4 linked regions of the Arabidopsis thaliana genome follow. The protein of the gene in region 2 interacts with the protein of the main gene of each other region in a pairwise test. Each region holds a gene or a part of one and is shown on either strand. Other genes may lie near its edges. The genes, in order: UBC34, AT5G61570, AT1G27290 and MAPR3.

What was found.
Region 1: the proteins of AT5G61570 (region 2) and UBC34 interact in a protein complementation assay, tested with the Arabidopsis thaliana proteins (one large-scale study listed by BioGRID).
Region 3: the proteins of AT5G61570 (region 2) and AT1G27290 interact in a protein complementation assay, tested with the Arabidopsis thaliana proteins (one large-scale study listed by BioGRID).
Region 4: the proteins of AT5G61570 (region 2) and MAPR3 interact in a protein complementation assay, tested with the Arabidopsis thaliana proteins (one large-scale study listed by BioGRID).

The regions. Positions count from the first base shown.
Region 1 is NC_003070.9:5,914,316-5,923,609, forward strand, and holds UBC34 (ubiquitin-conjugating enzyme 34), read right to left. Parts: upstream 6,028-9,294; 5' UTR 5,664-6,027; intron 5,662-5,663; exon of another isoform or gene 4,883-5,661; 5' UTR 4,848-4,882; coding exon 4,791-4,847; intron 4,588-4,790; coding exon 4,533-4,587; intron 4,120-4,532; coding exon 4,081-4,119; intron 3,999-4,080; coding exon 3,935-3,998; intron 3,835-3,934; coding exon 3,773-3,834; intron 3,707-3,772; coding exon 3,649-3,706; intron 3,572-3,648; coding exon 3,544-3,571; intron 3,380-3,543; coding exon 3,288-3,379; intron 3,108-3,287; coding exon 2,831-3,107; 3' UTR 2,517-2,830; downstream 1-2,516. Other genes in the region: AT1G17285 (uncharacterized protein), read left to right, coding at 6,400-6,797, 6,903-6,972; AlaAT1 (alanine aminotransferas), read left to right, coding at 8,456-8,677, 9,277-9,294. UniProt on the Arabidopsis thaliana protein: Accepts the ubiquitin from the E1 complex and catalyzes its covalent attachment to other proteins.
Region 2 is NC_003076.8:24,754,637-24,762,652, forward strand, and holds AT5G61570 (Protein kinase superfamily protein), read left to right. Parts: upstream 1-3,552; 5' UTR 3,553-3,870; coding exon 3,871-4,390; intron 4,391-4,999; coding exon 5,000-5,565; 3' UTR 5,566-6,153; downstream 6,154-8,016. Other genes in the region: AT5G61560 (U-box domain-containing protein kinase family protein), read left to right, coding at 1-12, 95-196, 280-717, 804-1,592, 1,685-1,870; PFK4 (phosphofructokinase 4), read left to right, coding at 6,514-6,768, 6,904-6,950, 7,037-7,076, 7,159-7,221, 7,300-7,596, 7,697-7,750, 7,830-7,898, 7,986-8,016.
Region 3 is NC_003070.9:9,478,614-9,485,592, forward strand, and holds AT1G27290 (uncharacterized protein), read left to right. Parts: upstream 1-2,791; 5' UTR 2,792-3,174; coding exon 3,175-3,586; intron 3,587-3,946; coding exon 3,947-3,963; 3' UTR 3,964-4,379; downstream 4,380-6,979. Other genes in the region: AT1G27300 (uncharacterized protein), read left to right, coding at 4,711-4,851, 5,120-5,581; NTF2A (nuclear transport factor 2A), read right to left, coding at 6,002-6,073, 6,881-6,979.
Region 4 is NC_003074.8:18,126,078-18,133,920, forward strand, and holds MAPR3 (membrane-associated progesterone binding protein 3), read left to right. Parts: upstream 1-3,374; 5' UTR 3,375-3,591; coding exon 3,592-3,899; intron 3,900-4,882; coding exon 4,883-5,276; 3' UTR 5,277-5,515; downstream 5,516-7,843. Other genes in the region: AT3G48880 (RNI-like superfamily protein), read left to right, coding at 1,796-2,160, 2,367-2,931; AT3G48900 (single-stranded DNA endonuclease family protein), read left to right, coding at 5,777-5,844, 5,934-6,091, 6,305-6,366, 6,468-6,595, 6,736-6,787, 6,864-6,936, 7,032-7,105, 7,474-7,533 and 1 more.

The sequences.
Region 1 (9,294 bases), on a different chromosome or scaffold from region 2:
ATGGTTAGGACAGCCAAAAGGTTTATCATTGCTGACAGGTGCAAAACAAAGTACACACCAAGAGCTCATGCTGAGATTGAGAAAATGATTGCTGGGTTCCAGAATACACAGAGATACATGTCCAGGGATAATTTGCATGAAATCTATGTCAATGGAGTTGGCTACTTTGTTGATATGGACTTAAAGACATGCGGCTGCAGGAAATGGCAAATGGTTGGGATCCCATGTGTTCATGCAACATGTGTGATAATAGGGAAAAAAGAGAAGGTTGAGAGCTATGTGAACGACTACTACACAAGAAATAGGTGGCGAGAAACATATTTCCGTGGTATTAGGCCAGTCCAAGGGATGCCTTTGTGGGGTCGATTGAATAGGCTGCCTGTCTTGCCACCACCATGGAGAAGAGGCAATGCCGGAAGGCCAAGCAATTATGCAAGAAGGAAAGGAAGAAATGAAGTTGCCTCTTCCTCAAATCCGAACAAAATGTCAAGGGAAAAGAGGATCATGACATGCTCTAACTGCTTGCAAGAAGGGCACAACAAGAAATCATGCAAAAATGCTACTGTTTTAAGTCCACCAAAGAGACCAAGAGGTCGACCAAGGATAAATGAGGTTTGTATATCTTTCATTTCTATTTTCAAAAATTCTGTTTCAAAAACTGATTGTAATGTTTGTATTAGGAACCACAAGGGTATGTAGAAGGATCACATGGACATGATAATGGCTCACAAGGGCAGGGTAATGTGTTACAAGGGCAGGAAAATGTGTCACAAGGGCAGAACAATGGCTCACTAGGGCAGAACAATGGGTCACAAACACAAAGCCAAAGAGGAAGAGGTCGTGGAACACAAAGACAAAGGGGAACAACTCGTGGAGCACAAAGACAGAGGGGAAGAGGTCGTGGAACATCACAAGTGTCTGAACAACCACAAGGAGAAGCACAATCGCAAGGACTTGCTGGACTTGCACCATGGTTTGAATGTTCTCGTGGAACATGATAAGCTAGTCTCATGTTTGTTTTTGTTGTTTGAACTTGTCTTTATGACATATGTTTAGTCTCGGTTTGTTTTTGTTGTTTGAACTTGTCTTTATGACATAATCTAAGTCTTTTTACTTATTGTTGTTTGCACTTGTCTCTCTATATGATTAGCTTAGTCTCAGTTTTAAGAAGTTGACCTTTTCTTTCAAATGAAATTCATTACCATTACCAAAGCTACATGTCATTACATAGTAAAAGCATAACCAAACACAAACTAAACAACAAAGACCAACAACAAGAGAAACAACAAAGACATCACATTCAAACTAAGCTCCCATTCGATTACACACTAATAACCAAGAACAAATTTCTGGGTTTTTTTCTTATAGAACATTGATATTACAATTGCAATCACACTAAAACAAAGGCACACCAAGCACACTTTCGTCATCTTTTTCCATCTCTGAATTTCTCTTTTGCTCCACATTCCATCTTCTTTCAACTCTATCATTAGCTCCTTTAAGTTTGCAATTTCAACAGCAACCTCAGCTTTTGCATTGATTATCTCGTTATCAATGCTGGAGATTTTGGGTAGAGCATCTATAACCTCTTCATACATACAATCCTCCACCCATTTGAACAAATGATCCTGCAATTCCATCTCAAGCTTTTATCGACCAAACACAAAAAACATCACATTCTCATATCAAATCTACTTACATCTTCACAGCTTTTGCACCGAAAGAAAGGCCTTCCAGGGTTCTTAGCCGTGCTCGATGTAAACATGACGACGTCGAGCCCACATTTACACTTAACAGGAAACCCACGGCTCTTGAAACCTCCAGCTTCAGCATTCGAAATCATTCCTGAATTGCAGCCTCCACTTTCACCACTCGAATTCCTTGAGTTGCAGCTCATAATGCAGATTTGATCGAAAAATTTGAGAGAAAATGATTTTTAGGGTTTGGGTTTTGATTTGGGGATTTTTCAGAGGTTTCGTCGACTTTGAAGTCTGTTGATAGCACAAAACGTCGTCGTATCACCTTAACGGATGTTCTGTAACGTCTGTCAATTACGCTGTTAGAAGGAATTTTAACGGTGGTTAATTAGGCCGAGTCAACGCAAACTTGAATGTTAAAACAGAAGTCAACTTTTTGTTGAAAGTTAAAACGGCCATTTCACGAGTTCACGGTTAATTTGACCATTTTTTGTAAGTTGAGGTATTAAATAACATTTTTCCCACTAAATTATAGAGTTAACATTATTAACCATAAACATAATCACTTTCACTGGACTGGACTCGAGCAGAAGAAGAAGATTGGTAACAAGTCAACGTCGGTGGTTGAAGACAGATTGAACCGGTACAGCCATACCGGTTTTAATTTATCATTAAGTATGGTTTTTTCCTTTTCTTACCAATGGGCCTAAAGGGACAATTGCTTAATTGGCCCAATATACCTAACAATTCTATTCACTATTGTCTGTGTATTCTCTCTGTCACTTCTGTTTTCATCAAGTTACTACACCAGAGTATTTACATAAATTGACAAATTAACCTGTGAGCTCTAGGAGAAGTACAATTTGAAAACCATACGGTTCTATTTTTCAAATCCAAACCATTATCCTCAATTCATATATACTATACAAAGTAGTTCCAACGAAGCTACAATATGTATGTAATTGTGAAACCAAACTTATGTTATCTGCTTTTACAAGCACAAACCATGAGGTGCTAAATGAGTAAATTCAGACGAAGAGCACTAGACAAAAGGAGACTACTCTTGATGCTGAAGAGAGAGAGACACAAGGAGAGATTATACGAAAACCAGGTCGAGGTTTGTTGCATAGAAATCACAGTTGAAGCAGAGGCAACGCCATTACCACACCGAAAACCGACACTAGCAACAGTATTATCCACGCTGGCAATCCCTGTTTATTGTTCTTTTTCCTCTCCTTCAAGCCACCTTCTGAATCTCCCTTTGTTGGATCGATGGTTTTCTCTGACTCGACTTTGGTATCGCTCTTTTGAGGAGACTCTGGTGTTGTCAGTTGTGTGGTAGCTTGCTCAGCTAGTTGCTGCTGGTTGTACTTCTCTACATACTCTGGAAATAGCTTTCGAAATGCTGGGCTGTCACAAGTAAGAACATTGGATTCAGGTGAAATACCGAAAACATGTAATCTCAGGACTGCATTCATTCCTATATTCGTTATCTAACCAGCTTTTATGACTATCCTAACCACAGATAACTAAACTTAGCTTCTATATGAATCCAGAATTTGAAATTTTTTGATGATGGGAAAATCTTACGTTTTACAATTGAAAGCGAGAGATGACTTAGCCAACCGTTGTTTCTCAATTACAGTAGTGTTAACACTTCCAGTTGTCGGACTGGTATCCATCTGCGCCGCAAGGAAAACGTTTAGAGAAAGCTTGAGAACAGAAAAGAAAAAATAGACTTCCTTTTTGAATATTCATATCTAAGCTAATAAACCATTACAATATAAGAATATGAGAATTTTCAAACAAGATGTCCATAAATATGTAGAACCTACAGTGAGCTTACCATAAATGAGAGAAGTCCTGTAAGTATGCTGCATTCATGAAAAAAAGTTGGTTATCAACGGGTATATCGATTGTCATCTTCCAAAAGTAAAGAAAGAATCTATACCTTGATACAGACCACATCGGATTCCAGCTTTCTGGATGAACTGTAAATGCCATGTCAACTTATTTCGATATTAGACAAGTTAATTGATACGAAATAATGAACAGAAAGTGCAGATTGTCCTTACAATCACTCATAGATAAACAAATTTTCTTCTGTGTCATGAATCGACCATTTGGTGTAGTCATTCTGAGGCAAACAGAAAAAGATTTGGTTCATTAAAAAACTGGACAAAAAATGAGGTAAGAGTAATGTTGAGACTGAATTTGGAGGAACCATTGGAACATACGTAATCCCTGGTGGCTTGTAAGGATACTCGGGAGGAAACTTGATCTTTCCATAGTAAAATCCACCTGGTAAAGAGAATTTTAGTATCAAAAATAAGATACTGCGTAAGACAACACTAACAAGAAACTTTCAAAAGAAGATTTTCACCTGCAAAAGGTGTTCCCTCACTGCCTTCCAGCACATAATCTGTAAGATTAATCCAATAGTTTAACTCTATTTTAGTAAGAGATCAAGCTACCCTTTTTAACATACTAAATGCAGTAATAATAGAAAGACTGAAACTCCCTAACCGCTATCAGGCTAACAGTAACACTGACAGCCTTTCACAATTGAGAAGAAAACTATCAAATCTATGCATTGTAAGTACATATAAACCTTTGATAAATAAGTCTTCACTATTCCATCAAAGTAATGTGAGACCTCTTCTGTCTACTTAGATCGTAGTATCCCATTTTTTCTTAGTTTAACGTATACTCACAAGTGTAGCAAATATGTCCATCATATATACTTATCATAACATCTTTATAGAAACGCTTGCAACAGGATTACAGGAAGCCAGCAGGAATAAAGATTAAGAAAAAAAGATAGGGAAGGCTTACGCCACTCGAGAATGTCATTTGGGGAAGGACGAGCAACAACATGGGAGACTGGTTCCTAAAGGCCAAAAACAGAACATATTAAATAACCCCCAAAGAAACAAAAGAAAATATGAAACTTACTCTAAACCAAAACCAAGAAAACATTCACATATAGATACAGCATCATTTGAAAGTACAGAGAAAACTGGTTGAGCAATAAAAATATGGAATCCTGGTTCCAGCTCGAGAGAGGTAGAAAAACAAGTAAAGAGAGTGTACCTTGCAAAGTGCTCTATATTCCTTTTGAAGACGTTTTATACAGGCCTTTTCTGCCATCTACGTGCTATGGACGAAGTGAATAGCTGCAGCAGCTGTTACACCCATTTAACATTATCAACAAAACGAAATACAAATATGAGTGAAAGTCCACCTACTGATGAGATGGACTACATAAAACCCTTATGTCTGAATTACATATATGAACTACATAAAAACATATATCGAAACGAGTAAATTGCAGTTGATTTTCGTGCCATTGATATGGAAACTTTACCAATTGTACTATCTCACAACACATATACAGAGATAACAATACTTCTAGCTATTATGCAATACTTTCATGACCTGATTGAAAAGAAAAACCAACCAAATACACACAAGATCAAATGAAACTTGAGTCAAACAACTCTATGATCACCAGAAACACCCTTTGAATAAAAATCCCCAATTTCCATGAGCTTGGAAAAATCTTTTCACCCAAATCACTGCAAACCAATTGAAAGCAACGAAAATTCAATCGAATTCCAACCAAATTAAAGGAAATTATCTGGAAATCCCTGGAATTATATATCAACCTAGAAAATCCTTTGATTGAACCGAGAAAATTGCAACAATGATAGGCAAACCAAACTCGAATCAGCTGCAATATCTTCCATAAATATATAAGAAAATCACAGATACTTCCACATAAACCGTATCAAAGCAAAGTCTTAAACTTGTTAGAGATTCCAATTGCAATTTCAAGCTTCGCTCTTACCCAGAAACGCAAAGGAACAAGAACAACAAATCAAAAGATAATGCAGCGAAGAAATTCCAAAGTAGATAACATCAGATCCAAGAAATAATTGCGAAAATATGAAAGAAATTGATCACCTGAATCGAATTTTGTCGATGAAGATTTTCTCTCTTGGGGTTTCTCGTTAATCTCACTTTCTCCTTCTCCGCGGGTAGAGAGAGAAAGAATTAGCCTAACTCGCGCTTGGTTTATCTAAACCGAACAAAATTCAACACAAGTTAGACCGGTATTGTATAATCCATTCCGGTTCGTTATTAGAGGATCAATGATTTAATAATTATTTTGCGTAATGCACTTTTCCCTATTTCTTTATTCTCCACCACTCATCAAAGAATCTGTGCCGGTTCTTGGAATCAATTTTTCCTTCTCTTCATGAAATATAAAAAAAATAGCTGCAGAAGAAGAAAAAAAACTAGTGATTAGTAGTGAGACAAAACAGCTGTTACCTGCAATTTTTTCTTTTCTGAAATTGGACTTACACTAATACCTCCAAATTCCAAAGTTATGCTTAAAAAATAATTTCAATAAAGTTAAGTTTCAGCCTCTTTTGAGTTCCCCGATAACAGTAGGCAGAAATCACGTGCTCTAATCACATGACCACCATCTCTTAGTTTCAAAGCAGTTACATGAGTTAGGTAATGTGAATATGTGGATCTTTGTCTCTACATATGATATTGTATCATTGTTTCAATGTAGATGCTTGAGGAATATCATCATCATCGTAAGTAAATGATTAAGAATAAGATAAGTATCTCACCATCTGATTAAATAGCATTAGTCAAAGTAAGATCACGTGATCAGATCCCAATAACTATGTGTTCAAACACACATAAATCTTATTCTATAAAACCAACAAGCTTTAGAAGTCTCTCGTCTCTCTTTTCTCTAACACACATCTCCATCCAAGATTTTCTCAGTTCACAGAAAAACAGAACAAGAAAAAGTCAAGAGGTTTCAAGAGTCCTAAAGGAAATTTCAAGAAGAGAACTCAGAATGAAGAGATGCTGTTCAGTGGCTCTGGTTCTGTTACTTGTAGCTTTCTTTAGCAGCAAGTATAGTGTAGAAGGACGTTCTCTGTTAACGATGACACATTCGAGTCAAGCTGTGAGAGATTTGCCTGTAAGCAAGGAGATGAAGAAAGAGCCACTTAAGGGAGAAAATGATAGCTTCAGAAGAATCCCAAGGAGTGGCTCAAACCCTATACAGAACAAGTAAAGAAGATACGAGACACAATCTAGTTTTTCTTTTTTTTTATGTATCCCCAAAGATGAGTTTTAGGTGTAATTGACATCAAAAAGTGTTTCTTTTTGTATCAGGTGTAATCCACCGGTAGATGTTAAAGCAAGTAGGAAACAACAGCAGATCACAACATCAAGAAAACCTTAAAATTCCAGTTCTTTTTTTGTCCTTATTTAGATCCTCTACTTTCGTTTTTTTTGTAGAATAGGTACCTAGACATGTGTGCTTTTAATGCTGTAATCTACTTGAAATATATGAACTCATCTTTTAATCTTATTGATCGATCAAGATAGGATGAAAATTTAAAACGCCTCCTAGCTCGAGTAGTCTAACTTTCCAAAACTATTCTCAACCTCTTTAATCTTTTGAGTTCTTCTTCTTTTCTCTGCTTTGTGGTTTCTTTTATTTGACTTCAGCAGACTTATCCTCAGCCATAGCATGTTGTTCTCAGTGGTGCTTAAAACCTTAAATATAAAATGATCAACCTCTTTATCTATGTTCTCGGTTCTATATGCTTCAAAAATGCATCCTCAGATCCGTAAAAAATTGAAAGTTGTTCTGCAGGAAACCTCACAATATCCTGACTATTTAGCTGCCTATCTCGATATCCAGTGATTACTCCTCACTGCAAAACAGCAACAATGAAAGAAGTAATCACAGCTGTGAGCACTAGATTCCTTTTGACATGTAAGTTTGTACTTCTCTAAAACACCGATACAGATTGTTGAGATTGTTTACAAACTTTTGGACCAAGAAGAAACAAAGTGGCATCCAACACATTACTCAAAAATGACGTCGTTTTGCTGATCCCATGTATAATAATATTACTGTTATTAGGAAACGCTGAGAAAACCGCCGCCAAAATGACGTCGTTTTGCTGATCCCATGTATAATATGATGAATTTTTCCCACGAACCGGTTGGGCCGGAAGAGAGTCTCTAAACCGTAACTCGGCCCATAATGGCCAAATTTTGTCCAATTTCTAACAGCGTTTTACGCGCCGACTCCGACCAATAAAACACATGGTTTTGTCTGAATAATCCACGATCCAGAAGTTCTTTATCTCCAATTAATTGTTCATTATTATTATTAGTACCAAACTAAATTAAAAAGAAGAAGAAAAAACCACCTTCATTTATTACGACCTCTCTTTAGACAAATTTTTTGACTAAGAAAATATCATAAACGGCTAAAAGACTCGAGATTACGGATTATGGATTGAAAACACACAAAACAAAACAAAACAATAATAATAATCTCATTCCTTTGTTTGAAATTAAAAAAAAATCTCATTTACGTTTATTACATTCTTTTTTTAGATTGATTTTTCGTTGAAAAGATAAATATATAGATGGCTTTTGACAGAGTATTTGGTAAGAAAGAAAAAAAGAAAGACATTCAATATTCGTTGAAAAGGGTTTAAAGAAATCCGTTGAAAATAAAGGAAAACAAGATAAATTCTAAATCCGTGGACGGACAAAAAAATGTCAAAATCAGTGTGAATTGGAGAGAGAGAGAAGACAGGAATTGGGAAGTTTCGTCTTTCGAGCAAAACTATCGAAATCTAAATTTAGATTGAGAAACAAGCCAACAAGCTTTTTAGTATAAATCCCATACCACACAATCACAAATGCGGAGATTCGTGATTGGCCAAGCTAAAAATCTCATAGATCAGAGTCGTCGTCGTCAACTTCATCATCACAAAAATCTCAGCTTTGTCTCTCTTATTCCTCCTTTTTCTGCTCCTTCCGATTCTTCATCGCGCCACTTGTCTTCTTCTTCTTCTTCCGATATGTCTGCTTCTGATTCCTCTTCCTCTCTTCCCGTTACTCTTGACACCATCAACCCCAAGGTCCGTTTTTTTCTTAATTTTTCCTTTATTCTCGCCTTTTTGGGTTGCTGTTTGTTAGTGATTTGTGTTCTGTGTTTTGGATTATGTTTCCTCGATTGATCTGTGTCTTTTTGCAAGCTTTGATTTTGTTTTATACTCCGATGAAATTTTGTGATTTATGATTTGGTAAAGTGAAGAGCTTCGTTTAATTTCTTCGAGATTGCTCTGTACTTGATTTAGGGTTTATTGATCACCTGCTTGTGTTCTTTTTGGGCATCATGTTTCGAGTTTATGCATATTATGATTCGTATCCTCGTCTCCGCATCTTGATCATTGACCCTTGATGGATTTATTTCTTTTACGTATTATATTACTAGGTGATCCTTTGTTTATAGGACTATTTAGAATCCATTTTGTTCTTCAGCTTTTTGCGTATATTAAAAAAGTCTGTTGCTTTCTGAATTCTTCATTTTTGTTCTTCCTTGTGATTAGCTCATACTTTACAATTGAATAGTTTATTGTCGAGGAACAGTTCTGCATCTTAAATCTAGCTTTAGTGACTGATGTTTTGTTTGGTTTTTTTTATTCTAACAATATGGTTTCTTTTTGGGGGTTCTCAGGTTATCAAATGTGAGTAT
Region 2 (8,016 bases):
TCTAGTAGCCAGGTTTATTTTCCTTCTCAAAACCAGTTGATAATGAGTGAAGTTACACATTCTGTTTTACTAATGTGGGATTCATAACAAGCAGATACATAAAGACTTTGAGTTAGAGAAGCTGAAGATTGAACTCCGTCACATTAAAGGAATGTATGCAGTTGCTCAAAGCGAAGTCATCGATGCTTCTAAAAAGGTTTATTTTTGTTACAATAATTTAGAAAGTTGCTTTATTTAGATATTGGGAATGATTTGTATCCTCTGTTTTCTTTTTATTAGATGCAAGATCTGAACCAGCGGCGATCAGAGGAAGCTACAAGGCTCAAGAACTTAACGATAAGAGAAGAAGAAGCGGATGAAGTGGTGGAAATGGAGAGGGAGAGACAAGAGGATGCGGAAAACGAAGCTGAGCTCGTGAGAGAATGCATTGAGAGAGAAACCGAAGAGAGACTTGAGGCGGAAGCAAGAGCGGAAGAGGTTAGAAAAGAGAAGCAGAGGTTAGAGGATGCACTTGAAGGTGGACCGCTTCAACGCCAACAATACATGAAATTTGAGTGGGAAGAGATCGTCGAGGCGACGTCATCTTTCTCGGATGAACTTAAGATCGGAGTCGGTGGTTACGGAAGCGTATATAGGTGTAACTTGCATCACACGACAGTAGCTGTCAAGGTTCTTCATTCAGACAAAAGTAGTTTAACCAAACAGTTTCACCAAGAGGTAAATAAACATTCTTCACTTCTTAAACCTCCAAGCAAAATTACTGTTCTCCTAAAACGATGGCGTTCTCTTTGATACTTGTTCAGCTTGAGATTCTTAGCAAGATTCGTCATCCACACTTGCTTCTCCTCCTAGGCGCGTGTCCTGAACGCGGAAGCTTAGTTTACGAGTATATGCACAACGGAAGCCTTGAGGAAAGACTCATGAAACGCCGACCAAACGTTGACACACCGCAACCGCCGCCATTACGGTGGTTCGAGCGGTTCCGAATCGCTTGGGAGATCGCTTCAGCACTCTACTTTCTCCACACAAACGAACCAAGACCAATCGTTCACCGCGATCTTAAACCAGCCAATATCCTCCTAGACCGGAACAATGTGAGCAAAATCGGAGACGTAGGCCTTTCCAAAATGGTTAATCTTGATCCTTCTCATGCCTCAACGGTTTTCAACGAAACCGGTCCAGTTGGAACATTCTTCTACATAGATCCTGAATACCAAAGAACCGGAGTGGTAACTCCCGAATCTGATATCTACGCGTTTGGAATCATACTTCTTCAGCTAGTCACAGCTAGATCCGCGATGGGTTTGGCTCATTCGATAGAGAAAGCGTTGAGAGATCAAACCGGGAAATTTACAGAGATCTTGGATAAAACTGCTGGAGATTGGCCGGTTAAGGAAGCTAAAGAGATGGTTATGATAGGGCTTAGATGTGCAGAGATGAGAAAGCGTGATCGTCCTGATTTAGGGAAAGAGATTTTGCCGGTTCTTGAACGGTTAAAGGAAGTTGCGTCTATCGCAAGGAACATGTTTGCTGATAACCTAATTGATCATCACCATAACGCTCCGACCCATTTCTACTGTCCAATAACAAAGGTAATGAATGATACGAAAATCTTACATTTTATGTCAGATTTTTGATACGTTATGTGTTTTGATTTGGTTTATGGGGTCATTGATGAAATTAGGATGTGATGGAGAATCCATGTGTTGCTTCGGATGGATATACGTATGAGAAGAGAGCGATTAAGGAATGGCTTCAGAAGAATCATAAATCTCCAATGACGGATTTGCCCTTTCCTAGTGATTCTCTTCTTCCTAATCATTCTCTTCTTTCTGCAATCAAGGAGTGGAGATCACAACTAATTAAATAAATTAATTAAAGGTTCTTAAATTTATACGGCTAAATTCGTCAATTAACATGAATCGTTGTGGTTTTTGTTTTGTCATACCATTCTTGCGCACAAACGTTGATGAAATATTCGAGCTTTTGTGTGTAAATTTTTTTTACCTTATTTGTTTGATTGTATTATAGGTTTTGACTGCATATTTGCAAGAAGAATATAATAGTGTTGATTTTTGTTGTGTCGTATTTTCTTATAAAAGTATACATATCAATACTAACGAAAAACATATATGAATCCAATCCAATATGAATATGAAAACTCTTCGTTTTTTAAAAATCTTTTAGTTGTGTATGATTTTATTATCAAACATGAGATAGTATCGTAAAAGTTGGCCTATCGTTTATACTACGAAGATACCCATATCATTTACTATTTTGTATTTTTGTTTGTTTCTCTAACATCTATCGGTTTCTTAGTGAAAAAAGTCTAAAATATTAAAATGGTATGTTTTGTCATGTTGGATTTTGTTGAATATATGCAATTGTTAACTAGGTTAGTAACTTAGTATACATGAGATGAGATCTGACACCTAGGCCATTAAATTGTGTGGGTTCTATATGATATAGCTATGAAAGACATAAATATGGTTATAGAATAATAAATGGGCTAGCCAAACGAATACTGAATTTACAAAAATAACATTTGAGCATTGTTCACACATTCTATCATGCACTTATCTACCTGGAATGATAGAGTTTTCTTTTTCCTTTATCCTTTTTTCATATAGTATTAGTTACAAACGAAGAAACTTTAACAAAGGTAAACAAATATACGTTAATAAGTTCGAACTATACGTCAATTATGAATTATGTCTAAACCAAACGATGTTCAAAACATAGAAGTAATAAGAATTACATTATAACAACAAACAGTATATGTAACTATGTAAGAGAATCATTGCAATAATTTATATTCTATATGTCGTTTAGTTTGCACACATGCACACATAGGGAAAAAGAACTTTATCCTAATATGAAGTGATTAAATATCAGAATGGAAATTATGCAATACAAATAGAAAAATAAAACAACAAAGTAAAAAATCTCTAAAAAAATTTAGTAAACAAAAGTTGCAATTGAGTTGTGGTTGTTGAAAGGGGAGTGACATGAAGGTCCCCCCACCACCTTATTTGATACGTATGGTGATTGGTGGGGCTATCAAAGGACCATTCGACGTCGGAGTATAATTTTGTCATTATAATCAAGATTTTCTCTAATTGAAACTCTACACTAACCTTTCTTTTGTTGTGGCTAATTTTTGTATACTTTGGACGTAATAGTTCTGTTATTGGCTCTTAAATGATGTGGAAACTATTAAGAAGGTTCCATTAAGTCTAAGTGTTAATTTCTCATTTCCTTAAACTAGAAAGAAGGTTCCATAAAAAGTTAAAAGGCAATGTCTAGTAAAGAGTAGTTAGGTAGTTTTCACAAGAAAAATACATCCTTTATAAGATTGATTAGCATTCCTAACATTTTTTTTTGGGAGGTGATTTCGTACCAAAAACAGAAACAAAATTTTAATACGTTTTCACAGTACAATGCCAAAATCTAATTCTAATATGACAAAGTTAAAATAGTCGTTCCAATAAATTGACCTATACAATTTGGTTTATACCAGTAGGTCATAAACTTATACAATTGGTTGAGAACTTGGCAGGGGAATAAAAACACACAAGTTTTCAATAATAGCGAACAAAAACAACTCATAAGTCCACATTGATACAACTAATTAAAACATGTTTCAGATCTCTCTATATCATTTACTTCATCTCCATCACATACCATCTACACATCTCTCTGTATCTCTACTGTAAACAAATAAAGTTTCAATTATTCATACACTTTTTCTTATTCCATTTTGTATTCTCACACCTAAAGATTCCAACTTTAAATCTCTTGCTTAATACTCAAAATCCAATTTCCTTGTCTACAAAAGAAAAACCAAAAAATCCAACACTATTCCATGAGATGAGAAAATCCCATTTGGTAAAACTGATACTTGCAGTATCTCTACCAACAACATTCTTGATCATGATCGCCATCATCATAATCTTCATCTTCTGTAGAAGAACAACAACAGAGACCAATGAAGTTCAATACGACGTCGAATCTCCTTACGAGAAACAAGAATTTTCCGATAACGGATCCGAAACAGAGGAGGAGCTTATCATCTTCAACGGTGGAGAAGATCTAACGATCTGCGATATACTCGATGCTCCAGGAGAAGTCATCGGAAAATCAAGCTACGGTACATTATACAAAGCGACGTTACAAAGAAGTGGGAAAGTTAGAGTTCTTAGGTTCCTTCGACCTTTATGTGCTGTGAATTCAGATTCTAAGGAGTTTAATGGCGTCATTGAGTCACTTGGGTTTGTTCGACATGATAATCTCGTTCCTCTGTTAGGGTTTTACGTTGGCAACAGAGGAGAGAAGCTTATGATTCATCCCTTCTTCGGTAGTTCCGGGAATCTTTCTGCGTTCATCAAATGTAAGTCTCTGTTTTCTACTCTGTTTTTTTTCTCTCGAGAAAATGCGAGGAAGCTGAAAAAGATTAAAAGGAACAAACTTTTTTAATTTTCGGACCAAAAGAGATGTCTTGAGTTCTCTTTTTAGCTGTCTTGATTCGTGGAATCTCCTAGATTCTTGTTTTCTGGGAAACAAACAGAGTCTTGAGTTCTCGTTTTCCCGGGTAAATGGTAAAAAGTTTTTAACGCACTTATCGTTACCTATATAAGATGTCTCTGTTTTTGAAATATCTATATCGAAGATTTCTTCGTCAGATGGAATCATATTGGTAACTGTAGTCGATCCATAAGAAATCGTCTTATCTTTTACATTTTCATAAATCGTAACATGGAATTGTTTTTTTTTATCTCTGACAAACAAAAAAGTAAGTTTGTTTATTTTGTTCTAGGATCACCATTATTGATCTAACTTTTGTCGGTAACTACTTTTTTTTGTCACTTCCCACTTAGTTTGCTCATTATATAAGACAAAATCTTTATAGATCTCGTTCCTTTAAAATCTGTAGAGCATCAACATCAGCATTAATTTTTCTAATCAATATTCAATAGGTTGTCTTAAAAACAGAGCATAGTTTTGGCAGGTGGAGATGTTGACGCACACAAATGGAGCAACATTTTGAGTATCACCATTGGAATAGCAAAAGCTCTTGATCATCTCCATACAGGAATGCAGAAACCGATTGTTCACGGAAATCTGAAGTCGAAAAATGTTCTACTAGACAAGAGTTTTAGGCCTAGAGTCTCTGATTTCGGCTTGCATTTGCTTTTGAACCTTGCAGCTGGGCAAGAGGTTCTAGAAGCTTCAGCTGCAGAGGGTTACAAAGCGCCTGAGTTGATCAAGATGAAGGAAGTAAGCAAGGAGAGTGATGTATATAGTTTCGGTGTGATCATGCTTGAGTTAGTCTCTGGTAAAGAGCCGACAAACAAGAATCCAACGGGATCTGTACTTGATCGTAATAGGTTGTCGGATTTGTACCGTCCTGAGATTATTAGGAGATGTCTGAAGGATGGAAATGGTGTGACCGAAGAGTGTGTCCTCGAGTACTTTCAGCTTGCAATGTCTTGTTGCTCTCCATCGCCTACTCTTAGGCCGAGCTTCAAGCAAGTATTGAGGAAGCTTGAAGAGATCAGGAAATGATGCATTAGCAAACTTGACTAATTTGTGGAAGAGACATAGGAAGAGAAAGATTCAAACAATCAGAAACCTTTTTGCAAGATTGATTCAATGCGTAGGGCGGATAAGAGAGTCTTCATAGGATGATACAATACATATAACAAGTTCTAGCTTGTGGAAGTTCACAGAGAAGTAGTTAGTCTGATTATCTACAGAAGTAACTGAAGATGGATCAAGGTTTTGCTTAGGAAGGACTTTTAGAACAGAGTTATTGGAGAATAACTGAGAAAAGAGCCAACAAGAGACTCGAAGAACTTTGTAAGGCCTCTAGTAATCATAGAACATCATCTTTTTGAATGTAAATTGTCTTTGCAGTTGTATCTTTATAGCCTTGCTCGGTCTGTGCAGATATGATTCTTGAGTTGTATACCTGAAATCTCCAAGAGGCTCTCTCTCTCTTTCTTTCTCTATATATATATGGTTCTTGTTCTTGAAGGAGAACTTTGCAGTTTTAAGCAAAGTATCATGAACTAATCTTGTGGTGTTTGTTATAACCACAGATTCTACACTTTTTACGCTGCACTTTTCTCCATCAATACATTCAGTGTTTTGTATATATTATCCTTCTGGGGATGGTATTGATCCCCAGAGCAAAACTTGTGGATTTTCCCGGGAAAATATTCAACAACAACTACCGAACTAAAACACACTGAAAAAAGTACCAGATTTAAACGGCACGGAGTGTTATAATTCTTATTACGAACGTCATGGTGTTATACTCCTTCTTTTTCAAATCGGTTTATTCTTTTTTCCGTTAAGTTTGATTTGAACCGGAATTGATCGGTTTAATCCGGATTGAACAAGCCTAGTCTTCTTCGTTTTGGTGATCTCTCTCTCTCCTATGAATTGAATTCCACAGAGAGATTCTAAAAATCTTTCAATCCCACAGATTCGGATTTGTACTCCATACTCATGGAAGCTTCGATTTCGTTTCTGGGGTCAACAAAACCCAATATTTCCTTGTTTAACCCTTCTTCAAACGTCCTTCCTCGTAGAGATTTCCCTCTTCCTGCTTTGAAATTGAAGAAAGTTTCAGTGCTGCCTCGAATCTTGCACCAGAAACGACTCATCAGAGCTCAGTGCTCTGATGGATTCAAACCAGAGGAAGACGATGGGTTTGTCCTAGAAGACGTTCCTCACTTGACCAAATTTCTCCCTGATTTACCGGTATTCGATTCTTCGCTGTTTCTGTCATGTGTTAATATCTTTGTCAAGTTATGAGTTTTTCCATCTAAAAGTATTAACTTTTCTGTTGGGTTGATGTTACTTCCCTAATTGATGATTTTGTTTCTGACATCACAGTCATATCCAAATCCATTGAAAGAAAGCCAAGCATATGCCATTGTTAAGTAAGTTCAAATTTCTACATGGCAAAGTCACTAAACTCATAAATACCTTTGAGGGTTGTAATGTATTGTTCATATGGTTTCTGTAGGCGAACTTTTGTCAGTTCCGAAGATGTGGTTGCGCAAAATGTAAGCTTGATGTGTTTTTTTCTAAGCTTTTTTTTTTCGATTTGCGGGTGTTTACTTGCTCTCAAAGCTCCCTCATTTTTAGATTGTAGTCCAGAAGGGAAGTAAGCGAGGAGTACACTTTAGGCGAGCAGGGCCTCGAGAAAGAGTATGATTTCTTCTTTAAAGTGTTAAACTTTTGTGAGATTTTTCGCAACTGAAACCTGTTAAGTTTTTGGTTATACAGGTGTACTTCAGATCAGATGAAGTAAAAGCTTGCATAGTGACTTGTGGGGGCTTGTGCCCTGGAATCAATACTGTTATACGGGAAATTGTATGTGGATTGAACAATATGTATGGTGTTAATAACATTCTCGGCATTCAGGGAGGATATAGAGGCTTTTACTCCAAAAACACTATGAACCTGACACCTAAAGTAGTTAACGATATTCATAAACGCGGTGGCACTTTTCTTCAAACCTCAAGAGGAGGACATGATACAGCGAAGATTGTTGATAATATTCAAGATAGAGGAATAAATCAGGTAGCTAACATAACTGATTTCCATTTTGTCCATAATTTTTATGTAGTTTAGTTTGTATTGAAGCTGAGCCATCCTAATATTTTGTCAATGTGTATGTCAGGTATATATTATTGGAGGTGGTGGGACGCAAAAGGGTGCAGAGAAGATATACGAGGTTATTTCATATCACATATTACTGAATGCTGAATGTAGCATTAGTAATTCTACTGATACTTGCTTCATATTTTGTGAAGGAAGTTGAGAGGCGTGGTCTTCAAGTGGCGGTTTCTGGCATTCCTAAGACAATTGATAATGATATTGCTGTAAATACCCATTGATAATTTTCAACTTAAGGTCTACTTTTCTCTCATGTGGAGTTTCTTATACATCTTCTTCATCCATTGTTCTAGGTGATTGACAAATCATTTGGCTTTGATACGG
Region 3 (6,979 bases), on a different chromosome or scaffold from region 2:
GTCTTCGTCCTCGACGAATAATGATGTTGTGGTATCGAAAGATAACACACAAGTGGATAACAGGAATAATTTCATAGGCCCAACAAGCAGTTCTTCAGCCCAAAGCCAAAATAATTCTAATCCAAGCTCATCCATCCAAACCCAAAATGAGCCCAATCCGAGCCCGTCACCAACACCTCAAAATTCTAGCCCAGAATCTTCACCATCGTCTTCTACCTCCGCCACGTCCACAGTCCCAAATCCACCACCACCACCTCCGACAAACAACCACCCAATGCGAACCCGAGCTAAAAATCATATAACCAAGCCCAAAACGAAACTCTCCCTCCTAGCAAAAACAGTTCAAACCCGACCTCAAATACCAAACACGGTGAACCAGGCTTTACGAGATGAAAAATGGAGGAACGCTATGGGAGAAGAAATCAATGCCCAAATACGGAATAATACATTTGAATTGGTTCCACCAAAACCAAATCAAAATGTTATTTCCACAAAGTGGATTTTTACACTAAAATATCTTCCTAATGGTACTCTTGACAGGTATAAAGCAAGATTGGTGGCTCGAGGTTTTCGGCAGCAATATGGACTCCATTACTCTGAAACTTTCAGTCCTGTGGTTAAATCTCTCACAATTCGCCTAGTTCTACAATTGGCAGTGTCTCGCTCATGGACAATTAAACAACTAGACGTAAACAACGCTTTTCTTCAAGGTACATTGACGGATGAGGTGTACGTCACACAACCACCTGGTTTTATCGACCCCGATCGACCACACCACGTTTGTCGCCTTAAGAAGGCGCTTTATGGCCTGAAACAGGCTCCACGCGCTTGGTACCAAGAGTTGAGAAATTTTGTTTGCTCGTTGGGATTCACCAATTCTCTCGCTGATACATCAGTGTTTGTTTACATCAACGACATCCAAATCGTCTACTGCTTGGTCTATGTTGATGACATTATTGTCACGGGAAGTAGTGATGCGTTGGTAATGGCTTTCATCACCGCTCTTTCTCGGCGATTCTCGTTGAAGGACCCGACGGATTTGGTATATTTTCTTGGTATAGAGGCAACAAGAACCTCACAAGGTCTTCATTTGATGCAGCATAAATATGTTTATGACTTGTTGTCTAGGATGAAGATGTTAGATGCCAAACCGGTGTCCACACCAATGGCGACACATCCTAAACTTTCACTCTACTCTGGCATTGCTCTAGACGAACCCGGAGAATACAGGACAGTGATCGGCAGCTTGCAATACTTGGCGTTTACACGACCGGATATTGCGTATGCTGTGAATCGATTATCACAATTTATGCATCGTCCCACAGACATTCATTGGCAGGCTGCAAAACGCGTCCTTCGATATCTTGCGGGAACTGCTACTCATGGTATATTACTTCGCTCAAACTCTCCTCTCTCGCTTCATGCATTCTCCGATGCTGATTGGGCTGGGGACAATGACGATTTTGTTTCCACCAATGCATATATTGTGTATCTTGGCTCTACACCCATAGCTTGGAGCTCGAAGAAACAAAAGGGAGTCGCACGTTCTTCCACCGAGGCCGAGTACAGGGCTGTTGCAAACACAACTTCAGAAATTAGATGGGTATGCTCTCTTCTTACTGAGTTAGGCATCACATTACCAAAGATGCCTGTGATATATTGTGACAATGTTGGTGCCACATATCTCTCTGCAAATCCGGTTTTCCATTCAAGAATGAAGCATCTAGCATTGGACTATCATTTTATTCGCGACAATGTGAGTGCCGGTGCACTACGAGTCTCTCACATATCAACACATGACCAACTTGCCGATGCTCTAACCAAGCCATTGCCTCGTCAACACTTTCTTCAGTTTTCAAGCAAGATTGGAGTGAGCAAACTCCCTCCATCTTGAGGGGGCATGTAGAGTATATAAGTAAAGGATAGTTTAGTAAATCATTAATCCCTAATTCATTCTAATGTAGTCCCTATATATATTGTAATTATATCATCTAATGAATTATTCAGCCTTCAATACTATAGTTTGATCATGTGCTTACTTTCCCTTCATTTGCGATACTTCAAGGTTCTTGCTGCCACTGTTTCTTTGAATGCGTCACATGTTTGAACATGTGTGTTCTTTTTGGATCGAAGCTTAGCTCTTTAGATGGAACTGAATAAGTAAAAGAGGTCACTGGATAAGCTCTGTTACTAGAATAATAGGAGGGCTTCTGCTTCACATTTGTAATCCTCTCTCTTTCTCTGAATTGATGTTGCAATTGCTTGTCATCAGTATCTGTATTTCCATAGATAACTGAACTCATTAAAGGGCAACCGAAGCTGCTTCGTGGTTTATGTTTCTTCTTTGTGGGCTATTTTGCTTTGCACTTTCACTTGTTTCTTAGTTTTGGTTTGATTTTTCATACTGGGCCCTGAGCAAAACAATTTTAGTTATATGACTTGTGAAACTTAAATGGGTTTTAATCGAATGGTAACTTCATCTAATTTGTTTGAATAATTCATCATGGACCTTAATGATAATATCTTGAGTCTACTAATCATTTCACAAATCCTTTCATTTTCCAACAGCAAGTAGCCTGATTTTTGAACCTCAGCGATAGACAGCTTAAAGTGCGGTCATTCTCGCAAAAAGCTATCAGTCTTTATTTGATTCACGAACATTATACACGAAAGTCAAAATTAAATAACCAAAAAAATTAAACAAAAAGCAAACAAGAAAACGACTTCTCTGGTATGATTGGAACAAATTTAATAGAGAGAGAGGTTAGATAAGAATGTGGTAGAAGATAAGACCCAACTACGCGTCATAACTGGGTCCCATCTTTGTCTCTTTCCCTTCTTCACTCGCCAACCCCATCGCGTGTCCCCACGCTCCTTCCCTTTACTTTTTCTCGTTATCCAAAACACGACGATTCTTCATTTTAGATTTTTTTCATTAATAAAAAAAAAAAAGTCTTTTATTGCAGAAATTTCGATCGTTTTTGTTGTGTGTACAGAGAGATTATCGTGTTTTGTTGGCAATCGCCATTAAACCTTCTTCCCTCTAACCCAATCAAATTTGCGGCTCTTTCTTTTATCTTCTCGCCTCGGTTTTAGCAAACCCTTTAGTTATCTTCTTCCTCAAGCAATTTTTCTTTTGGATTAGATTGGTGTTTTCTTTTGGTTTGTGTGGTGATGATGAGAAGGCAACGAGATGAACAACAATCTAGGGTTTTCTACGATCTATCATCTCTTGTTTTGAATCTTCTCCGTTCTCCTCCTATGCCGATTTCTTTACCTGATCATTTCCCCGATCCGCCCGCTAGAATTCGTCCTCCCTTTTCTTCGCATCGTTTTTCGTCTTCTTCGCCTTCTTTGGCTCATATTTCTCCGTCTGGATTCGCGTCGTTGCTGCTTGGTATATCTGTGGCTCTTATGCTATGTGGATCTGTGACTTTCTTCATCGGGTTTCTCTTGATGCCTTGGGTTCTTGCTCTGATTTTGGTTTTCTATGTCGCTGGCATCGTTTCTGCCATTTCTATGGTCGGGAGGTCGATTCTCTGTTACGTCTTGACGCCACCTTCTCCTTCCGGAAAGGAGATTTCTGGTAATTTTGTTGAATTTTAGGGTTAAGTTTGTCAAATTGGTTTCAATGATTCAAGCTTTCTACTTTCGTCTCGGATCTGTTTAGATTTTAACCAAAGTTTCCTTATTGATCATCTAGAAATGATTCCACTGGGTTTTGGTTCTGTCCTTATTTTGATAGAAATGGAGGTTCGAATTAGGGTTTTATTGAAAAGCACACCGATGTTTGTTCTGTCTTTGACTGAAACGATATTGTTCTTTTGTTTCCTCGTGGATCATATTATTCATGTTCACATTACTTTTGTTGTCTGAAATTAAACCTATGTTTGTATTAGTTTCATGTTCTTGCAATAATGTTTGTGTTTGACATGTCTATTCGCAGAATGGAAGCTTCTGTGAAATGATTAAACAACAGAGGTGAAGAATCTATACATCATCCGGAAGCAGAGCAGAGCGAAGCAGAACAAAAAAAAGAAGAAGAAGGATTGATTATATAAACACATATATCCGATAGAGTTTTTCTATGTTCTTTATCTGTATTTTGTTGGGGGGGTTTGGGAAAATCATGTGGATATCAGGGAGTTTTATATTTCTTTACATTTCGAAAAAAGAATTTTTCTATTTAACTACTGTTAGAAATAGAGAAGCCTTGTTATTTGTGCTTTCATGTATGTCGTTTTTATGTAACATGATCATTTCTTAAAGCATACAAAAAGATTTTAGGATTTCTGTTGCACTTCTTTCGATTTCCTTGCATTTTCGAAACACTCTGTGTTGATATCTCTTCCTTTAAATCTTCTTACAATATTTGCTCATTCTTGATCTCTTTTATGGTTTTAAATAATTGTCTCTTCAAGTTCACACGGAATCTAGTGTGAATCGAGGTTTAGTCGTGCAGAGTTGTGTGTGTTATTACATGTTTTATTATTGTTTAAGTATATTTATTTAGTGGAGGACTATACGCTATTTGCACATCTCAATGTCAAATTGCTCAAAAATGGTAGAGGTGCCGTGCCGTCAATAGATGTCACGTGTCCTGACTTGCCTTCTCAATACAAACAAAAATACTCTCTACCTAAAAAAACACAATAAACAACAAACGCATCTTTGGAGCGGCGGTGAGATTAGAGAAGAAGGGTTTGTGAAATGGAGTCCAGTGAGGATGTGGAGAATCTGAGTAGAGCTATTGAGAAGCTTCTTCATGAGAAGAGGAAGAGAGAAGCTTCTGGTGACGCCTTCATTGAAGACGCTGATGATCAGCTTTTCCTCTCTAGCCTTATCTCTCAGGTACTTTACCATCGCTCTGTTTTCTCCTTTGTTGATTTATCTGATGTTGCAGCCAATCAACTTTCTGGGTATATGATTGAATCATGAGTATTTGAGTGAGTCTGTGTAATTGTTTCGCTGTGATGTGTCTGCTTCGATTTTGATGAGATCCAACAAATACAAGCTTATCTTCATGATTGTGTTTAGTTGCTGTTTCATGTCCACAACATTATTTGTATTGGGATGTGTCCATTTCAGGCTTGTGCTAATTTTTTTGCCAATAACTTAGTTGGAATCACCAAACCCCAAGGGGAAAGAAGATGTCATAACCGGAGAAGAAGAAGAAAAAGAAGAAGAATCTGCAGATTCTTCACCATCCAAAGGAAAAAGCGAGGGCCAGAGACAATTGGAAGAAAGTATAGAAGAAATAGCTAAAGACATCAAGAAGGTGAAGAAGCAGAACAAAATAACCCATGTACTTCTCTCGGCTACGATCATCCTGACATTGGTTTGGCAGCTCTCTGAGTACTCCATGATTTTCATGTTGAAAGATAGAATAAGCCACCCAGTCAGATCCATCGGAGGTATGCTTAATGGAATGTTCAAAGGTAAGTTACGTCCAATCAAGAACCAACTTGCGGGGACTTCCAACTCCAATGACCAAAACAACCATGGGAATGGATCACACACTGGACCTCAACTTCAAGTGCCCGAGCTGTTGCGAGAATTCGGTTTCGACGATGAAGAATGATAGCTTCCCTTTGTGACTCAATAATACCAGTTGTTATTTAGGAACAGGGGTCACCCTCATTGTTTCTTTGCTTTTAGTATAAGTAGTTTACTTTTATATGATCAAAATGCGAAAGAATAGTTGCTTTCTCAAACTTTTCCACATGAAAAAGGGTTCCAAAAGAGAACCGTATTTCAAAAAATCTTTTGTTTTACCCTTACTGAATCATGGTTCAGTGCCCGAAAACAAAAGGAGTCATCTCAAACAAAGTAACAAATAGCTCCATTGATTAAAATAAAAACAGACAGCAAACCACCTGAAACAAAGCTTAATGTTCCAAATCTAAAACCAACTCAAACAGTTTTTGAATAGTCCCAAACTTTCCACCACTCTCTTTTCAGCTTCCAATAATGGTTCCATGTACCTCTGGCATCAAATTCCTCAGGCATAGTTCAACCTGAATATGTCATTGAACACGTAGTAGTTTCCCTGATTCGATATCAAATGGAACATCTGGACACAAAACACAAGTATGTCAGGAATCAGGCAAAATCCAAACAACAAGCAGTCATCAGATTTATGTTACAATCATATAGTGATCCAGTGCGTGATTCACAACACAAGAGATGCATACGTAGCTCATTACAAGTAGGTCAAGTTGACAGAAATTCATCCCACTTTGCTCTATACATACATTCCACAAGTTTGATGTTCATACAAATATGATAACAAAACACAATTAGTACCTTGATATGAAGAACTAAAATGACAAAAACATCTCTTATCGAACAAATCTAGTAAAGAGCGTTCAACACTAAAAAGAGAAAACAATGTCTTACGGCAGATGATACAAACACTGCAAGCATCTCAAACTATTTAGAGTTGAGACAATTTAATCAAGAAGGTGGCATATCTACAACTACAACAAGATCACATATGAGCATAGTTGAAAAAAACTAGCAGAATCATGGCAAAGCAGTTTCCCAATACTACATTCACGAAGTGCAAGGAGATAGAAGCTCCACAAGACAAAATCTAAATGACACAAGATTACATCTACTGATCTACGCAATCATTTGGGGGAAACCTCTTTTATCTCCAACCTTATCACAGATCTATCACTAAATGCATCAGGGAGGGTCTAAAATTTCGAGACAATTCCAGATCATTGAAGCTTTTAGTGACCTAATACACACATCAATCTACAGAGCAGTAAGGATAAAAACCCTATCGTACATGATCAACAGCGAGGAATACAAAGGAAACACTAAAAATCGAAGTGATCTAAACCCAAGGGAAAGAGATAAGGCAAAAAAAAACCTGGCTGAACTTGAGAGCGTGTTGTTCACCAGCGAGCTGAAGATTGCCGGAGACAAAGACGAGCATACCACCGGCGGGACCAGAAGGCTGACAATCGAC
Region 4 (7,843 bases), on a different chromosome or scaffold from region 2:
ACAGAAAGAGCTCAGGCACAAAAATACACAATTTCAATTCACCAACTAAGAGCAGAACAATGTCACAAAAGCTTGAGCTATGTTTCTTATCTCCAAACTCTCCAAAGCAAAACAAGCAATCATCTTTGAACAAATCGAAACGCGAATACACAACCCTAATCTCAAAGTAAGCATTTTTGCATATCAATAAAACCAAATAAAGAGTACCCAGATTCAGAAAACTCAAAATGAAACCACCAAAAGAAACGAAACCAAACGCCATGAGAAATAGAAGAAAAGAAAAACTCAACCTTTAAAACAGCTCACACAACAGAGAAGCAGAAACCTAAAAGCTTCTTCAATGAAACACAACAACAACAAATGAAAAATAAAAACAGACTGAGAAAGAGAGTGAGTGTAGCAAAGAAAAGGGTTTTATGTGTAGCAAAGAAAAGGGTTTTATACCGTCGACGCCTTTGGATAGCGAAGTTGGAGAAAGCGAGAGACTCCTTTTATTGGGAAAGAGATAGGAAAGTGAAGAAGAAGATACCCAAGAGACAAGAGATTTCTCTATTCTCTCTCTCTTTATCTTCTCTCGCATCGCCGCCCTTCATAGATTAAACACACTCACCTACCAAAGTTGCATACCAGCCGTTAGATTACTCATAAGTGTATTCCACCGTCGGATTTAACTACTTTTTAAAGAGTCAACCTCAATAAGAATCTTGTTCCCAAAGATAAGGGTTTGTGTTGAGTTTAAGACCGGTTTAATCTGAAAACTCCGTCAAACCAAAACCAAACCGATTTATCATAAAAAAATTCATATCATCTACTTCCATTGGCTAGAGACAGATTGTAACGGTGTCGTCGTCGCCAAACGATTTGCCTCTTCCTAAAGGTAGGTTCTTCATTTCTCTCAGTGCCCCTTTGCGTGTTTCAGCTTCTTCTTTATGATCTAATTCATGTCTATGTTTCGTTTGATTCTTTGTTCAATTCTGAATTGAGAAAATGGCGATTCGAGATCTGTCTCTTCGGTTTTTTAGTTCGACTGATTTGGGAATGTGAAGAGATCAGATTGATTTGTTGACAGAGTCTTGGGGGTTTTCAATCTTATTCCTCTAGATTTTCGAAATTCGATTCCTTTACATCAGATTTCGCTTAATTCTCTGTCCTAGTGAGTTTTACGATCTTTAGTCTTCTGGTTTGTCAAATTCTATGTCTTTTCATGTTCTTCTGAGTTTTAATGGTTGATCTTCAATTACTTGGCCACAATCTCTAGAGTTTGAGACTCTTGACTTGTCTTGCATATATTCCTCTGTAGATTGGTTTTATGTTTGGTTTCAATTCCTTGTTGAACTATTCTGATACGGAAGTTTTCCTTTCTAAGGTTTGGTGTTTCCTTTTTCTGATAAATAGTGATGAAGATCGATTATGATGATCATGTAAGAATATAATCTAGCTTTGGTGTTTGTATTGGTTTACCTGAGGGAAGAAAAGTCTTTCTCTTTGGGACTTTAAACTTTGATTACTTAACTCCAACATTATCATAGTTGGGTTCTGTAGTTCATTTCACTTATAGCAGTAATAACTCATTGATTGATGCAATCAATCAATCCTGTGATGGAAATGGAATCATGGAAATTGAGGGATTCAGGGAGGATTGATTGATTAGAATTTCATATTTATGAGAGAATAAGAGAACTGATGTGTGTTTCTTTTCCTACTTCTTAAAGTTGTGCTCTTTCCTATTTCTATAAGCTCTTGTGGATAACAACAGTTGATTAACGTTCTTATGCTTGTTTAGGGTACAACAAGAATGGAAGAAGAGTATGAGAGTCGTCGATTGAGGAGATGGGAAGAGTTGGACACTGACATCTTAGTAAGAATTTTCCAGAAGTTTAGCGTCTTTGAGTTGACTTCGGGATTAGCTCATGTTTGTAGAGGATGGAGAGCTGCTTGTTGCGATCCGATTCTTTGGAAGACGGTGGATTTGTCAAACATGAGATCTAGTTTCATCAAGATCCCATTAGAGCCTTATGTCTATGTGGAACGCCGATCTGATGAGGCCCTAACCCGCATCCTGAAACTCTCCATGAACCTTAGCGGAGGAAGCACGAGGACCTTGATTTTTCATTTCAACTTGTTCTTGAGTGATGATCAGCTTACTTACACCGCAGAAAGGTATGTCCTTTTCGTTCTTCCACTTATTTGTCTTCCAAATTGTTTCATCATGGCCGTAAACTATGGTTTTTTAGTCAAAAGTTGGTTCAGTTTTTGGTTTGGTTAAGTTCATGTACCCACTTTCAGTCAAAATTGCTGAATTACAATTAAGCTGAATCTCGCAAATGCTAAAAGTTGAAAAATTTGTTGTACTGAATATTTTGCAGGTGTCCAGGGTTGAGACGGGTCGTCCTACCGGCTTGGAACAGAATAAAGAAGACTGGTATATGCAAAGCGATAAGAATCTGGAAAGATCTAGAGTCACTAACAATGCCAAGCATCGCAAACCCGCCTTATCTCTTAACAGAAATTGCCAAGAACTGCAAGAATTTTAAAGAGCTGAAGATCATGGGTCCATTCGAGGTCTTCTTTGCAAACACGCTCATCACTTGCCTCCCAAACATCAAAACACTCAGCATCAGATGCTCGGCGATAAAGCGGGAAGCACTGATGAAAATCCTTGACGGATTACCAAGCCTTGAAGTGCTCAACATATCACACTCTCACCTAGTGGAGTACAGCGGTTGGCAGCCTCAGCAGAAGGTGATTGTTAGAGAGCTCGATAAGACGATAATGGAGAAAACAGCAAGGCTAAAGAAATTCTTGACTTGCATGGATCACAAGACGTGTGTGATGTGTCAGAGGACTGAAAACGATGAAGGGATTGTGAGATGGTACAAGTATGAGGAAGGAGACTGGAAGGTTGATGAAGTGAGTTCTCTTCATCTTTGATGTTTCTGCTGTGATCATTCTCTGTGAAGGACTTAACTTGTTATTGTTCTCATCTTTGACTGTTGAATTGTTTATTTCTTTGTGTTGTTTGTTTTGATTTGAATCGTATTATGTGTATATATCTGTAGGCTATGCCAATGAATGTCTGTAGTGATCAACTTTTGATCACCACCAACCTTGCACACCAAATAGGAAAATAAAACAATATTGTTACAATTATTTGTCTTGATATTAGCATTATTAGTCACATTTGTTTTGCAAATCATCTACCTTTTTTTTTTGGTCTATATCTTATTCTTCTTAGTTCTTACCTACCAGTCTTCTCCGGCGGCATTAACGACACCGTTTTATCGAGCTCAGCCACCACTAGTTAGGTAACGATATATATTCTTAAAAACGTTTAGAAAATTTCTATGTATGTTTCACACGAACAAAAAGAAAATATTTTTCAGACATCAACGGTCATTATGGACGACGACTGTTAAACAAAATCGTTTAAAATTCTTGTTGCGTAATTTGACCATTTTATTTTATTTTATACCAAAAATTGAAGATATTATATATATGTTTTAATTCGATCGCAAATAAATCTGAAAATTAAAACACAAAACGTTACTCTTCTCTCTCATTCTCTTTCGCTTCTCGATAGCTTCTCAAATCATGGTTCAGCAAATATGGGAGACGTTGAAGGAAACAATCACAGCTTACACTGGACTTTCTCCAGCTGCGTTTTTCACCGTACTTGCTCTCGCTTTCGCCGTTTACCAAGTCGTCTCCGGTTTCTTCGTTTCTCCTGAAGTTCACCGACCTCGTTCTTTGGAGGTTCAGCCTCAATCGGAGCCTCTTCCACCGCCGGTTCAGCTCGGAGAAATCACTGAGGAGGAGCTTAAGCTTTATGATGGCTCCGATTCTAAAAAGCCCCTTCTTATGGCGATCAAGGGCCAGATCTATGATGTTTCTCAGAGCAGGTATTTCTTGTGAAATCTTTACTTGTTCATTAAATTATGATTGAATCCAAATGATCACTAGTTAAATTACCAGTAATAAACGATTCAACCCAATAGTTTCGAGATTTGGGGTTTAGGTTAGTTAATCATGGTTGACTGTTTGATTTATAATCCGAAGTTTCCAATTACTATCTATCTTATGATTCTAGTATATCTACTGATGCTCGAACTCTAGTTTAAGTGATTCTTTATTGTAAAACTGAACACTTTTAGTAAATCTTTTTGATGAATATTCTCTCCTTTTTGTTCATAATCTTATGATGCTCTTTTTATTGCTTTTTGCATCTTAGTGTTTGTTTTTTCACTTCTTTTCTTGGAACAATACCATTAGAAGCACTGATACAATTGTATTGTATTCAAGTTATCGGAAAGATCTCTACTTTTTCTTATACTAGAAAAACCTGTATTTAGATTACATCTTGGATTAGTAGAGATTGATAACGTACAAACTCGTCAAAGGTTTGGCTTCTAATATTGCTATTGTGGCGAAAGAGATCGTTCACTGATTAATTATCCACATTTGCTTGCTATTTGTGTTCCATGACGTTTGTAAATTAAGTTTTGGCGAACATTGTTGGTATGTAACCATGCTGCAGTTGTCTAGATCCCTGACTTGTCAACTAGACAGTTCTTTTACATTCCAGTTACCGAAAACTTCGTTGTGGTAATTAGGTTTTGTGCTAGATGAAATAATCACTTCAGTGATCATACCGTTTTGCTTGTTCATAGTGGCGACAGACACAGACACACTCATCAACGCATATACATGTCGATGTATATGTATGCATAACTTTTAGTTTTTTTCTTGTACATAGTTCATCAGCTGTACTACATATCTAGATGAATCATATTCATATGTGCCAAGCTGTAGTTTTTCATTCTTCAAACTCTACTTAACTCTTACTGGTCGCTAATTTGCATGACCATCTGTTCTTTTTATGCAGGATGTTTTATGGACCAGGTGGGCCATATGCTCTGTTTGCAGGGAAAGATGCAAGCCGAGCTCTGGCAAAGATGTCATTTGAGGACCAAGACTTGACTGGAGACATCTCAGGTCTCGGTGCATTTGAGCTAGAGGCGTTACAAGACTGGGAGTACAAGTTCATGAGCAAGTATGTCAAAGTCGGAACCATTCAAAAGAAGGATGGAGAAGGCAAAGAAAGTTCAGAACCTTCCGAAGCAAAGACTGCCTCTGCGGAAGGTCTTTCTACAAACACTGGAGAAGAAGCTTCAGCAATTACCCATGATGAAACTTCTAGAAGCACAGGCGAGAAAATCGCGGAAACCACGGAGAAGAAAGATGTTGCAACTGATGATGATGATGCTGCAAAGGAGTAAAGTCAATGTAATGAGAGGCACAGTTTCTCTTGAGAAATTAGTGAGATTTTTCAGGGTTTAAGTATGAGTCGTATATAGCTCAATAAAAATGGTGACCTTGTGTGTACTTTTTGGATCTTGTATAATGACATCTAATTCTGGTTATGGAAGCTTCAAAATACATTATTTCTACAGTATTAATCGATAAACAGTTCTATAATTCAGGGTTTGTTCACTTGTTGTTTATGCTTAGTTCATATTTGACATCCTGCTATGTGCCTGGTAATTGAAGATGGTTCAATTCCTAAAATCGAAGCACCAACTTACATTTGATGGTAGGTCTGTTGCCGAACCGAAGTGAAGAATTTGCAATAATTTTGGTTTCGGTTTGGAACCTTCAAACCGACCGGTTTCGAATTATTATTGAACCAAATTTTCAAAATTCAAATATCTTGTCAAATCATTTTCTTCCCTCTTTCTGTCTCTGTCTCTCTCTCTCGCTCGATCTCGAAGGTGAAGCTATGGGAGTGAAGTATCTTTGGGATGTCTTGGAGCCTTGTAAGAAGACTTTCCCACTCGATCATCTTCAGTGAGTTGTTTCTTCGTCTCAATTTCTCTTTAATTTTTCTGGGTGTTTAAAAAGACCAAGTCTTTACGAGATCTTCGTAATCGCTGTAGAAACAAAAGGGTATGCGTGGATCTTTCGTGTTGGATGGTGGAATTGCATAAAGTGAACAAATCTTATTGCGCCACTAAAGAAAAAGTTTATCTTCGAGGATTTTTTCATCGTCTCCGAGCCCTAATTGCCCTAAACTGCTCCATCATTTTAGTCTCAGGTAATTTAATTCTACCCTACTGTTGAAAATTGCCATCAGAAGAGCCAATTAGGGTTTATGTAGTGTTGTATTGTTGTCATTGTGAATTGATTTGAGTAATAGAAGCATGAGTGGTCAAATCAGTTCTTATTTATTGATGCTTTGCTCTAAAGTTTAGTTTTTTCAATGCTATTGAGCATACTTGACTTGTTGGAATGTGGCATGTAATTGTAGATGGTGCAATTCCTGGAATCAAAGTACCAACTTACAAGCGTCGGTTAAAAGCAAGATTCGAGGTACAATGATGTCAAATGTGGCACTTGTGGTTTCATCCTTGCATATGATGGCTAGTTTTTGGATTGTTTTTTTCGATTTCGTGCTATATTGGTTCAGCCAGATCGCTGACGATGGTGTTGAGCCTAGCAAAGAGACTTCACTCAAAAGAAATATGGGGTCTGAGTTCTCGTGCATCATAAAAGAGGCGAAAGTTATTGCATCAACACTAGGGATACTTTGTTTAGACGGGTAGGGCTTCAAGACAGTTAGCTTAGATTGACAATGAGACTTTGGTTTGAGTGTTTAACTTTGCTTATGAGACTTTGGTTTGAATGTTTAACTTTGCTTATGAGAAACTGATTCTGTTCTGTATTTTCCATCAAATGCAGGATTGAGGAGGCTGAGGCGCAATGCGCTCTGCTAAACTCGGAATCCTTATGTGTAAGACGCATTTTTCAGCTTTAATCAGTTTCTTGTTCGTCATGCTGTTAACCCAATATTCAATGATCATCCATAGGACGCCTGTTTTAGCTTTGATTCGGATATCTTCCTTTTTGGTGCAAAGACTGTATACAGAGAAATATGCCTTGGTCAGTGGAAAGAGACTCTTTAGTGTGTTGGTTTCTTTTACCGTCTGATATGGTTAATAGTATTATAAGTCCTAATAAATTTGCCAATGAACTAGGTGAAGGAGGTTATGTTGTTTGCTACGAGATGGATGACATCAAGAAAAAGCTTGGGCTTGGACGGAACTCATTGGTAAATTAACAAACCTCTTTAAGTGATTAGCTTTATATACTTAACCCTGATCTTTCGTTTCTATAAAGCTGCACCACGTTATTATAAAATGATTAGATTGGTAGAAGCATGAATGCAATGCTTGCAAAAGGTGGCCTTTGATATTTTATAAACTCAGGTGAGATAGATACTATGTGTATGAATGGTTCTACTGCAACGTTGTAGCTTTAAGGGCTCAATTCCTTTGTTAGCATCAGTAGACAAGAAAACCAGCTACACATTGTTGAGTGTTGACTATTATTCCATGCGTCAAAGAACTTTAAAATCTTAGCTATGTTTCATCAAATGGTAAGGTCATGTATACAATGTTTTCTTGGGTGATGTTACAGATAGCTCTAGCGCTTTTGCTTGGCAGTGACTACTCTCAGGGAGTTCGTGGTCTTCGACAGGTGTGTAGATAACTCAAGCTTTTAAACCTCCATCTATCGGGGTCATATGTTATTCGAGGTTGTCTGTTTTATTTAGAATTGGATTACAAAAGACTCACGATTAAACTTCTTCTGTGTACAGGAGAAAGCTTGTGAGCTTGTTAGGTCGATTGGAGACAATGTTATCCTTGAAAAAGTTGCATCAGAAGGACTTTCCTTTGCGGAAAAGCCGAGAAAGTCTAAGAAGCAAGTTAGGCCTTCTGTGTGCAGCAAAAAGGGGACCTTACCTTTGGTGGTTATAAATGGTAATGAAAGCAACAACTTCTTTGTG